Oryctolagus cuniculus: one gene and its partners. The protein of the gene in region 2 interacts with the protein of the main gene of each other region in a biochemical or structural test. Links are inferred from orthologs where the notes say so. Each region holds a gene or a part of one and is shown on either strand. Other genes may lie near its edges.

Region 1 (3,741 bases), on a different chromosome or scaffold from region 2:
AAAAAGAAAAGAAAGAAACCAGGTAGACTAAGTGCTCATCACTGTAAGCTCGTTCTTCCGAGACTCCTATCTTTGGTCAGCACTATGTATCTGATCAGACAGCACTCAAGAGCCAACACCTGCCACAGACCCTCTCTTCCAAACGCACACAAGGAAACACGGAGAACACAGAAAAGCAAGAAGATGCCTCAGGCTGCTGATAAAGTTTAGATCACAGGACCATACTGGCATTTGGAAAGCGGACTGCGGAGCGCCTTTCCGGCTGCAGCTGTTAGGGCTGTCACCTGCTATTTCCATCTGTGCGTCCAGACCTCTGATGTGGGACTGCGGGCTAGGCATATCCACACAGCTCATCCACCTCTGATTCCCGCCCACCGCCGAATCTCCGGACTCCCCCCGGAGAGACGGTAAAGGGATGAGTAAGCATGCTGTAGCCGATCTGGGTCAAAGCGAACAGACCCTGGCACGGGCGGTGGAAAGTGGGGGTGAGGCAGCGAGAGAGACGCACAGCCGGGGAGTTCCTCTGCCGAGCGCCGGCAGCCACGGTTCCCTCCAGCGGCCACCACCAGAGCCGCCAAACGCTGGCTTTCCCCTCCGCCCCGCAGCGTGCTCAGGTGCACACTGTCTTTCGACAGTTACTTTTTAAAAAAAACCAGCAGGACAACATAAACGTATTTTCTCCAGGTATCGGCTTGTCTGAGACAACAAAGCCGCCCCCAAGTTCAACGGCTCTGTTTTTTTCCCAGTATGACACTCAGGGCACCAACCCCCGACTCCCTCTACCCAGCAAAGCAGCGACTGCCAGAAACAGTTTCAAATGTATGCCGACCTCCTAAGAAAAAAAAAAAAAAAAGAGAAGACTTCCGAATCACTCCAACAGCCTGAATACAGGCACCTGACCTTATTATTTTTTTTTTTCCCCTAAGAAAAATAGGGCACCGAGAGACGAGAAAATTTTCTCTCCTTTCCTATTTTGGCCGCCAAGAGTATCTGGAGCACTTTTGGTCTCTTTGGGGGCTTTTCTAGGTTTCTTTGGTAGGGAACTTGCCCTCAGTAACCAAACTCTAACCTGGGGGGGGGGGGAGGTGTGTGTGGTGTGTATGTGTGTGTTTCAGGCTGAACTTCACAGATTTAAAGGACCCAAGGTGCCGTTTTCTTTGTCAAAATCCCACGGACTTCACTGGAGGCCGGGGTGGCGGAAGGCGGCAGCCGGGATCACGAGCGCCGGCGGCCGAAGGTAGAGGGAGGCAGGTGCGAGTCCCACCTGCTGGGAGCGCCCGGCAGGGCGGCAAGCGACTCCCACCGCCGCCAAACGCGCCCTCGGCAAACCTAGGGCTCCTCCGCGCCCGGTGGCCCCACGTGCCCCGCCGCCACCTGCCCGCCCCGGCCCCGCAGGGCGCGGGTTCCCGCATCGCCCGGTCCGGCGCGGTCGCCGCCGCCCCGACCGCCGCCACCTCTGCTCAAAATGGTGGTTACGAAACGCGGCCCCCCTCCCGCCCGGCCCACGGCCGCGCCGGCTCCACAAACTTCGTCGGCGCGGCCGCATCCCCGCAACCCAGCCGAGGTAGAGGCCCCGGCGGCGCGAGGAGGCCGCGCGGCGCCGGCCACTCACCCACAGACCGGTAGCCCAGGATCGCGATCTTCCGGGACTTGGACTGCGGCATCTTGGCGGCCTCCTCAGCCCCGGCCCAACCACATCAACCGCGGCGGCGACGGCTGCTGCTGCTGCTGCTGCGATCGGCGGCGGCCGCGCCGGGGGACAGCGGCATACAGGGCAGGGGCGGCGGCGGGCGCGGCTGCTCTCTCTCGCTCGCTCGCTCGCTCGCTCGCGCGCTCCAACCGCCCGGAACCGACCGCGCGACGGCGCCCCTCCCCCCACAACACGGCCACGTGACCGCCCCGCCGCGGCCGCCCCCTCCGCCAGGGCCCGCGTCAGCGCCGCTCCTCCCGCCGCCGCCGCGGCTCGCCGCCTCCGCCCCCTGTAAAGGCGCGGAGGATGCGTCGGGGCAACGTTCTACTTTAAAGGGAAAAAACGGGGACGCCGAAATGCTCCCGGAAAAGTCAAGACTGAAACTCGCTGCGTCATGACCCTCCCACCTCCTTCCGCCGCTTTTTAATTACGCCAATTCTCTCCGGACGCTGATTGGACAGTTCCTGCCCGCCCGCGCGATGACGCGACGGAAACTCCGTCTCCCATTGGGGACGACGAGGAGGCGGGGCCAGAGGCGGGGCTACTCGCCGGGAGGCTAAAAATACACCCGGCTCCTCCGCAGCGCCTGGGCGCCGGCGGGGTTTGAAGGCTTCGAACTTGCAACGGGTGGGAAGTGGGCGGGAGAGGCGGAGAGAGAGCGCGCGAGCGAGCGAAGATGCTCCGCAGCTATTGGCCCGAGAGGAGCGCGGGGCGGGGCTAGCGGCGGGAGGCGCGGGGATTGGAGGAACGTCGAGCAGTTGGCTGACTGGCTCTCGCGGAGCCCTTAAAAGGTTCGAGGCGCGTGGCCATGGCGGGCTGGCTGTGGGTTGACCGGCTCCCCCCTCTTTTTTTTTTTTTTTTTTTTTTTTTTGGTACAGTCTCTCACCGCTTTGGCGTTCCCAGGTCTAGGTTTGAGGATGTAGGTGGTGACTAAGCGTCGCCCGAGGCTTAGAGACTGTGGGCTGAAGGGAAGCTGCATGAATTCCGAGATGTCAGGAATTTCATTAAAAACGGCGCGAGCCTCTGCAGCTGTGGTGTGAAGCCCTGTGACGGGCGGGCCCGGTGCGGGAATCCTGCGGTAACAACCAACGCCAGACCCTCGCGCTGCTCGTCCACGAGGCCGTTCTCGGGGAAGGGGCCGGGGTGGGCGTTGGGGGGGCGCAGGCTGTCGCGGACAGACCCCCTTTTGCAGGGTGTCTGTGAAGAGCCGCGGCCGCCCCGCGGAGCGCAGGAAGGCGAACCAGCCCGGGAAAGGCGGGCCTGAGAAAATGAAGATGCCGTTGGGAGACTCCCCAGCCATGGCAGACAGCGTTGAACGCGGTGGTGGCCGAATAAGCAGTTCCACTGCTGCCGCTCCTGCGAATCTGCCCCTGGTGTGCGGCCCGGGCTGACGACAGCTGCCCTCGCGCCGCCCCCTCCCCCACGAGTGGGGCGGGGACCCCCGGGGGCCGGCCTTGGGTTGCGGAGTGTGGAGATTCAGAGCGCTTGTTGTATAGCTGCACCTGGTCGAATTGCAACCCTGCCCTAAGCGTTCCGGCTTACCCACCGAAACCCTCCTAGCAAAGGGGAGAGGTGTACGTTTGTATCCTCAGGGTTCTGCAGATTGAAGTCGCAGACAACCAGCTGGAAGCCATCTTTAAAACTCTATAGTTTGTCTCAGCGAAGAATTGCCTTCTCTATAATTTATTTAAAGATTATTATTTTAAAATTTTTATTGTCACTTATTAGAGAGAAAGAGATAGCTTCTGTCTACTGGTTGACTCACCAAATAACTACAACAACTAGAGCTGGGCCAGGCCATACTCAAGAGCACAGAACTCAATCCTGATTTTCCCACGTGGTTGGCAGATACCCAAGTACTTGAGCCATCACCTGCTTCCTCCCAGAGTGCGTTAGCAGGAAGCTGGTTCAGAAATACAAGAGTCGGGGCAAGCACTCCAATGTGAGGTTCAGGCATCTTAACCATGAATCAGACACTTGCCCCTCCTTCAAATATATTAAAACTACAGGACTCAAAATGGACCCTCCAGAAAAATACAGCACATTTGTGC
Region 2 (3,741 bases):
ACACAAGCCTCTCTAAACGTTCGATCTATTTTAAATTAGAAAATTTTGCTTTTACATTTTGAACTTTTTATTAAAAACCAAGATACAGGGATCAGGGTTGTGGCACAGAGTTAATCTGCTGCTTGTGATGCCAGCATCAAACTGCTGGTTTAAGTCCCCGCTACTCCACTTCTGATCCAGCTTCCTGTTAATATACCTGAGAGGCAGCACAAGAAGTGCTTGGGCTACCGTCACCCTTGTGAAAGACAAGCACATAGTCCATGGCTACAGCCTTACCCAAACCTGACTACTGTGGCCATTCAAAGCATGAGCCAGGGGATGGGAATTATCTCTTACCTCTCACCCAACCGACCAACCCTTTCTCCCTCTCCTCCTGTCTACTGTTTCTTTATGTCACTTTGGCTTTCAAAGAAATAAATAAATCTTAAAAAACAACAACCAAAGACACAAAGGGTCAGGATCATCAATGGCCCTATCTTCTACCTGTGGGGAGCAACTGGGAGCAACTCGGACTAGACTGAGTTACTGGAATTAAGACTTGTTCTATGCATCTGCTCTCCCACAATATGGCGCTGGGAGAGGAGAAAACAGCTTCTACGCAGCTGCCTCTGGCCAACTTGAGTGATGACCTCCAGGAGCTGATCCTGCTCCTGATTGGAGGAGAGCAGCGTACTCGGCGTGTGGGCAGCCGAGTTGGGATTGGCGGAAGAGGACTATAAAGGAGGAGAGAGACAACATGCACCAAGAACATCTATCTGAAGGAACACCTGTGCAGCCCCCGAGAGAGCCAGCCGGCCGGCGGTGTGCCGCTCCCCTGCGGAAGTGGGGAAAGTGGCCAGGGGGAACCGCCCTTCCACGGAGGTGGAAGGGACGGCAGCCAACCCAGGAAGAACCAGCAGCAAACCCGGGGAGGGCCGAGCAGACAAAAGAACAGCGCAGGGTCCTGTGTCGTTCCTCCACGAAGACGGGGAGCGACACTACCTCCACATTTTGCCCACTGGCACGTCTTCCAGGGCAATAATATGCATGGAACCAACATGGCCTATGACAACAATGCTCTCTAACTAACTCTGCCTTTCAAATAAATTAATAAAACTAAAGTAAAACAAAATGTTAGCAGAAAACTGAGTCTTTCTCCTTTAAATCCTTATCAGATTGATTCAGTTAGTTTCTGTCATGCTCCCAAAATATCCCCTAAAATCATTTTGTAAATATCAGTAATACATGTCCCATGCTTTGGGAAACACTATGCTACCAGACTGTTTTATTCACATTTCCAATCACTTGGACTATCTCAAGACTCAGCATAAGTCTCTATACCGCCTCCACAAGGAAGGGAGTATACTTAAAGGGACTATCATCATGTAATATTTTTAAGTTATGGTCCATTTCCTCTCACTCAAGAAAAGGCCATCCTTTAGGTGAATATTGTTGAGATTCCAAGAAAGGGTCCATCAATGGATTTAAAAAAAAAAAAGTACTATATACTTAGAATGGAATTTAGCCGTAAGAAGGAATGAAATTCTGACGCTTGCTACAAAACGGACGAACACTGAAGAGATCATGCTAAGTGAAGTAAGCCAGACACAAGAGTCAGTGTGTGACTGCACGTCTGTGAGGGACTCAGAGCAGTCAAATGCAGACACACAAAGGGACTGCAGAGAGGAACGGGGACTTCCTGGTTCAGGAGCAGAGTTTCGGTTTGGGACACAGACCAGGCCTGGAGATGGTGGTAACGGCAGGGACCGTGTGGATGTACTTACCGCCACTGACGTGTGCGCTGGAAGGGGGCTGCGATGATACACTCTGTCCCGAGTACCTCGCAAAGTCTGTGGGGATCCACATCTTTTTATTTTTTAAATGTTTTTGAATGTCATTTATAATTTTTTTCAACTTTCATTTAATAAATATAAATTTCCAAAGTAAAAAACAAAAACAAAAACAAAAAAAAAAAAAACAAACCAAACACATCCAGGCAGGGGGAATGCCTGGATGTGTTCAGGATTCTTTTTTTTTTTTTTTTTTTAAGATTTTACTTATTTGAAAGAGTTACAGAGAGAGAGAGGCAGAGACAAAAAGAGAGATCTTCCATCCGTTGGTTCACTCCCCAGATGGCCATAATGGCCAGAGCTGCGCCAATCTGAAGTCAGGAGCCAGGAGCTGCCTCTGGGTCCCCCACATGGGTGCAGGGGCCCAAGGACTTGGGCCATCTTCTACTGCTTTCCCAGGCCATAGCAGAGAGCTGAATCAGAAATGGAGCAGCCGGGACTAGAACCAGCGCCCATATGGGATGCCGGCACTTCAAGCCAGGGCTTTAACCCAATATGCCACAGTGCCAGCCCTGAGGATTCTTGTGCCCAATTGTATACCTGTATAGGAATTGACTTCCACTGGCCTTCCGGGGATTTCCTTCACTTCTTTCCTGTATTGGATGTCCTGTTTCCTATATCCCAAGTATTCCTTTCTTTCGACTTATTCATTTAATAAATTCCCTGAAAGGTGGGTTAAGGTCCCCTTGTCCCTTGGGTTCTATGCCTGGCTCTGGCTCCTGACTCCAGTTTCCTATTAATGCAAACCATGGGAGGCAGAGATGAGTTCCCACCACCCATGAGCGAGAGTTCGCTTTCAGACAGCCCTGCCCCAGCCACTGAGAGCATTTGGTGAATGAACCAGCAGACTGGGGAGCCCAAGGAGGGAGTTGGGGGACAATCATTGCCAGGCACATGCACATGTTCTCTGTCACACTTTCATAATTTTCAAAAAATCTGAGAAAAGCATCATGGAGTTTTAACTTTTTAAATTATGAAAGACAGAGGGTATTTCCCTTCTACTCGCATTGATAATTTTGCTGACAATCCTAAGTCAGAGCTAAGTCAGAGCTTCAGAAAGGCTGATCCCAGGGCAAGCACGTGGGCCAGCAGTTAAGATGTCTGCATCTGAATCCCAACTCCAACTACTGACTGCACCTTTCTACTAACTCAAACCCTGAGAGACAGTGATGATGGGCTCAAGTAACTGAGTTCCTGCCACCCACATGGAGACCTGGACTGACATCCAGCTCCCAGTTCAACCCGGCCCAGGCCCTGTATTAAGATTCAGAGAAGTCAATCAGCAGACCTGAGAGCTAGTGAATGCTCAGGCTCACTCACTCCGCCTCACAAATCAAAAATAAAATGGTGAGAGTGAATAAGGAGAGGCAGAAAGAGACACAGAGGTCTTCCATCCACTGGTTCACTCCGCAGTTCTAAAGCCAGGAGCCAGCAGCTTCCTCTGGGTCTTCCACATGGGTGCAGGGGCCCAAGGACTTGGGCCATCTTCTACTGCTTTCCAGGCCATAGCAGAGAGCTGGATTGGAAGTAGAGCAGCCAGGATTAGAACCAGTGCCCATATGCAGGCGGCGGCTGTCGCTCCCCCTCTTCACGGAGGAATGACACAGGACCCTGCGCTGTTCTTTTGTCTGCTCGGCCCTCCCCGGGTTTGCTGCTGGTTCTTCCCAAGTTGGCTACCGACCCTTTCACCTCCGTGGAAGGGCGGTTCCCCCTGCCACTTTCCCCACTTCCGCCGCTCACGGGGGAGCGGCACACCGCTGGCCGGCTCTCTCGGGGGCTGCACAGGTGTTCCTTCAGATAGATGTTCTTGGTGCATGTTGTCTCTCTCCTCCTTTATAGTCCTCTTCCACCAATCCCAACTCTGCTACCCACACGCCGAGTACGCTGCTCTCCTCCAATCAGGAGCAGCTCC
Region 3 (3,741 bases), on a different chromosome or scaffold from region 2:
GACACCTGGATGCCAGGTGACAGGGCCCCCGTGGGCTCCGCCTCCCGCCCCCACACTGTTCTTTCTCCTCAGCGGGAGGAGGCAGGTGGGCACTGATGGGCGTGGCACAACGTCTCTCCTCCGCTGCCTGCTCCCCACTCTCCACCCTGGGCCGGGCTGACCCCAGGAAGGCACAGCCAGGACTCAGTTTAAAGGGTCTTTTGGGAGACCTGAGAGTCACCAGTGACCACCAGCAGCGTGGGAGCCAGAGGCACTGATATGACCGCTGAGCCCACAGCAGCAGCATGAGGGCAGCCGGGGGCACAGACACCGGGGCGGGGCGGGGGGAGGTCCAGGGGAATAGTGACCCTGGCCAGGCAGGCGACTGACCCTGCCTTGTTCCCACTTCCCAGCAGTCCCGTCGGGGACGCACTGCTCCCCTCCCACTGGACTGACGGGATGCTGATGGGCAGGGAGGCTGAGTCGCCTGCCCTGCTGCACACAGCAGCCGGCTGGCTGGGCAGGGAAACCACCAGGCTGCTGGGCTCCTGGCTGAGCTCTGATCGCTATGAGAACCCACCCCTGGCCCAAACCAGAGTCCTTAGGAGAACAGTGTGCAGTGGAGTGAAGCCTCGGCTGGTGGCAGCGGGAGTGACCCCGGAGGCACATTACCACCTCACTCCCCCCACCCCCCTGGCTCACCTGCAGACCCTGTAAGTACACCTGCTGGTTCACTCCTCCCTCGCACCCCTCTCCCCCAAGGCTTGCCTGGAAGAGGGGGGTCACACAGGCAGGGACAGCAGGCTGAGGGTGGGGACGCCCGTGTCCTCTCGGTGGGCACCCCACAGCCGGCTTCACTGCACTCGCCCTCCCCCAGCCCCTCTGCTCCCCCCCCCCACTGCAGACCCTGGCCGCAGCTCCGCCCACCCCCAGCCAACCCCCTGGGCCCTGGATCAGGACAGCAGCAGGGAGGCAGCCACGGCTCTCCACAGCCCAGCTCTGCCTCTCCCCGACCTGGCCAATGACTCGGCCTCCTGGGGCTCAGGCTGTTTCTCCATTAAATGGGGGGCCAAACCCACAGCCTGGCCAGAGGCCGGTACAGCCAAAGGGCACACACAGCAGGCCTCAAGCCCCGGGTTCCTTTCTTTGTGGCACTTAATGCCAGCAGTCTGAGCTGGGTGCAGGCAGAGGCGTGAAAGGACCCCCACCTGGTCACTCCCACCCCAGGAGAAGCCCGCATCTCCCCCCACCCCACCCCCCACCCGCAAGAGGTCCCGGACAACATTCTTGCTCTGGCCAGAGGCGTGTGGGGTCCCTCGGGGCCACTGAGCCCTGGAAACTCTTCCCAGGCAGGGGACATCTGTCTTTGGCGACCCAGAGAAAGCTGGAGGGGCTACGGGTAAGGAAGGGGCTCCCTGGCCTGCTGTCCTCAGAGGGGGTCCCGGCCAGCCCAGGGCCTATCACAGACACCCCCCACCCACCCACACGCAATTGTGCAGGCTGCTGCTGGCTCCAGGAGTCCTGGCAGTGTTTTTGAGAGTCTCGTAGCACGCTGGGTCAGGCTCCCCTTCCTGGAAAGGGTGCAGCCCCCGCCCAACCCACACCCCGAAGAATTCAGTTCTTCCTAGCTAAGTAAAGTTGCTATGGACCCTGGCACATAGTAGGTGCTCACCCAAACCAGCTCTCCCCCTGGCTTGTCAAGGAGCGCCCAGCCTTCCTCGGTCCCGACCCTCCCCGCCCCCCCGGGCCGCCCCACTTCGACCCCACTCCCCGAGGCTGCTGCCCGTCTCTCTCCTACCTGGCGGGCCAGGCCTTTGGCACGGCGCGGAGGGCTGCCAGGAAGCGCCTGGAGGTGTGGGGAACCGCCTGCCGTTCCGGCCGCCGCCGCCGCCGAGCCTCCCTGTGGCTGCCGCGGCTCCCGGGTCACTGAGCGGGGCTCCTCCTCTGCGCGGCTCGGGGTGCCCGGCGCGGCGCGGCCGGGCGAGGGGGCGCGCGGAGCTGGGGCCCCATGGGTGGGCTCCGAGGGGTCGGCGGGGCTCGGGCGCTGGGCGGGCTCCGGCTCGCCACTGCCGGCCCTGCCCTGCCCCGACCCGGGGGCCTCCTGCTGAGCCAGGTGCCCGGAGGCTTGGAGACGCGCGATGCGGGGGGCGATGGGGAGAGGGTCCCCGCCTGGGGCTCCCGGGCGGGCGGGCGAGCTCAGGGCGACTCTGGGGATCAAGGAGCTACCCCTAGAGACCCGGGGCTCGGGGGTGTCCTCTGGAAGTGACCGTGGATGCGTGCGTGTCCCGGGCGCGTGAGCCTGCCCTGGCCGCCCGTGCTACCCTCTCCGCCCGCTCCCACGGGGTCGCTCGGGCCTCCGCGCCAGCCCGCAGCGCCGCAGCTCTCCCCGCGAGGCGACGCCAGCAGCTGACGGAGGAGCAGGGCGCTCAGCTCCGCTCGCGTGTGTGGGAGGGGGCCGTGAACGCCGCCCCAAGTTCGCCTTAGCCCGCCTCCTCCCCGCGCCCTCCCGCGGAGGAGAACTTTCTGCGCGGCCCCCGACTCCCCGCAGGCGGACGCCCCCTCCTCCGGCAGGGCGAGCTCGCGGTGCCTCCAGAAAGCGGCCGGAGCGCTGACTCCCGCGGGCGGTCCCGGGCGAGCGTCGCCCACCCCGCGCCCGCGGCCCCCGGCGAGCAGCCCGGCCCGGCGTCCGCGTCTGCCCCGCGCTCGCGCGCTCGCCCGCCTTCGCCCCGAGCCCCGCCCCCGCCCGGAGCCCCTGTCCAATGGGAGCGGAGCCCGCGGCCTTGCCCCGCCCCTCCCGCGCCCGCCGGGCGCCGCAGTCCGGCGGCTCCGCGTGCCCGGGCGCGTGGGGCTGGGGCGGCTGGGGGGCGGCTCGAGGCGCCGGGGCACGCGCGCGCGGGGGCCGGAAGGCGGCCCGGGCCTCGGAGGCTGACGTCTGCGCACGCAGTCGCACGCACGCCAGCTCTGGCCGCAGGTGGCCGGCCGCGGGTGGTCTGCAGCCCGCGCCCACCCCGCACCCCCCCACCCCGGCTCCCGAACCCGTCTCCTGCGGAAGTCCCCAGGTGCCCGACCTACCCGCCCCTACCGAGCAGGAGGGACCCCTGCGCTGACACATGGGCCGCGCACGTGGGACCGCGAGGGGCCTGGAGTCACCTTGGCCCAGCGCGCCCGCACGGAGGTCTGCGCCCGCAGCGCTGTCGGGGGCCGCCCGTGTGCCCGGGGCGGAGCCTCCCGCCGACCGGCATTCGCCGTTCCCTAAGCCCGGGCAGGCTGAGCCTGCGGTGGCCACGCGCCCCCTATTAACGCTTTACATCCGAGACCCGCTCCCCGCCCCAGCACATTTTTCAGAGAATCGTCGTATCTCTGCCTTACATGGGAAGCCAGTATCACTTGCCATAAATAGAAGGTAAGAGTAAAAATAAGTACAAGGAAAACAAAGCAAGGTTATTAAATTTCAGCTGGAAACTGGCCGGCGAGGCTGGAGCTGTGCCCCGGGTGAGGCGGAGATGGGCGGTTTCGCCGAGGTGTGAGAGAGCGCTCAGCCTTGTCAGGTCTCCGTGGGACGGCTGTCCCTGCGCCCGGGACCCGGAGTCTGGGGGTGGCTGTGACTCTCACGCCCCCGGTAGGCAGCTCCAAGGGAGAGAGACTCGCGCCCAAGCCCTGCTTCGGACACCACCCTGAGTCTTAGTTGTGCCATCTATAAAATGGGTTTAACACTGCTGGGACACAAGCAGACCCTGTTCTCTACTGGGCCTGGACCGTGAG

The links.
Region 1: the proteins of RAF1 (region 2) and RHEB form a complex in vitro, tested with the Homo sapiens proteins (3 studies listed by BioGRID and IntAct). The link is inferred for Oryctolagus cuniculus from reciprocal best matches to the Homo sapiens genes RAF1 and RHEB.
Region 3: the proteins of RAF1 (region 2) and RASD2 form a complex in vitro, tested with the Homo sapiens proteins (2 studies listed by BioGRID). The link is inferred for Oryctolagus cuniculus from reciprocal best matches to the Homo sapiens genes RAF1 and RASD2.

What each region holds. Positions count from the first base shown.
Region 1 is NC_091438.1:22,310,679-22,314,419, reverse strand, and holds the start of RHEB (GTP-binding protein Rheb), read right to left. Parts: upstream 2,129-3,741; 5' UTR 1,665-2,128; coding exon 1,613-1,664; intron 1-1,612. UniProt on the Homo sapiens protein: Small GTPase that acts as an allosteric activator of the canonical mTORC1 complex, an evolutionarily conserved central nutrient sensor that stimulates anabolic reactions and macromolecule biosynthesis to promote cellular biomass generation and growth.
Region 2 is NC_091441.1:114,625,036-114,628,776, reverse strand, and holds the start of RAF1 (RAF proto-oncogene serine/threonine-protein kinase), read right to left. Parts: upstream 2,281-3,741; 5' UTR 1,846-2,280; coding exon 1,764-1,845; intron 1-1,763. UniProt on the Homo sapiens protein: Serine/threonine-protein kinase that acts as a regulatory link between the membrane-associated Ras GTPases and the MAPK/ERK cascade, and this critical regulatory link functions as a switch determining cell fate decisions including proliferation, differentiation, apoptosis, survival and oncogenic transformation.
Region 3 is NC_091442.1:113,063,583-113,067,323, reverse strand, and holds the start of RASD2 (GTP-binding protein Rhes), read right to left. Parts: upstream 2,643-3,741; 5' UTR 1,778-2,642; intron 1-1,777. UniProt on the Homo sapiens protein: GTPase signaling protein that binds to and hydrolyzes GTP. Regulates signaling pathways involving G-proteins-coupled receptor and heterotrimeric proteins such as GNB1, GNB2 and GNB3.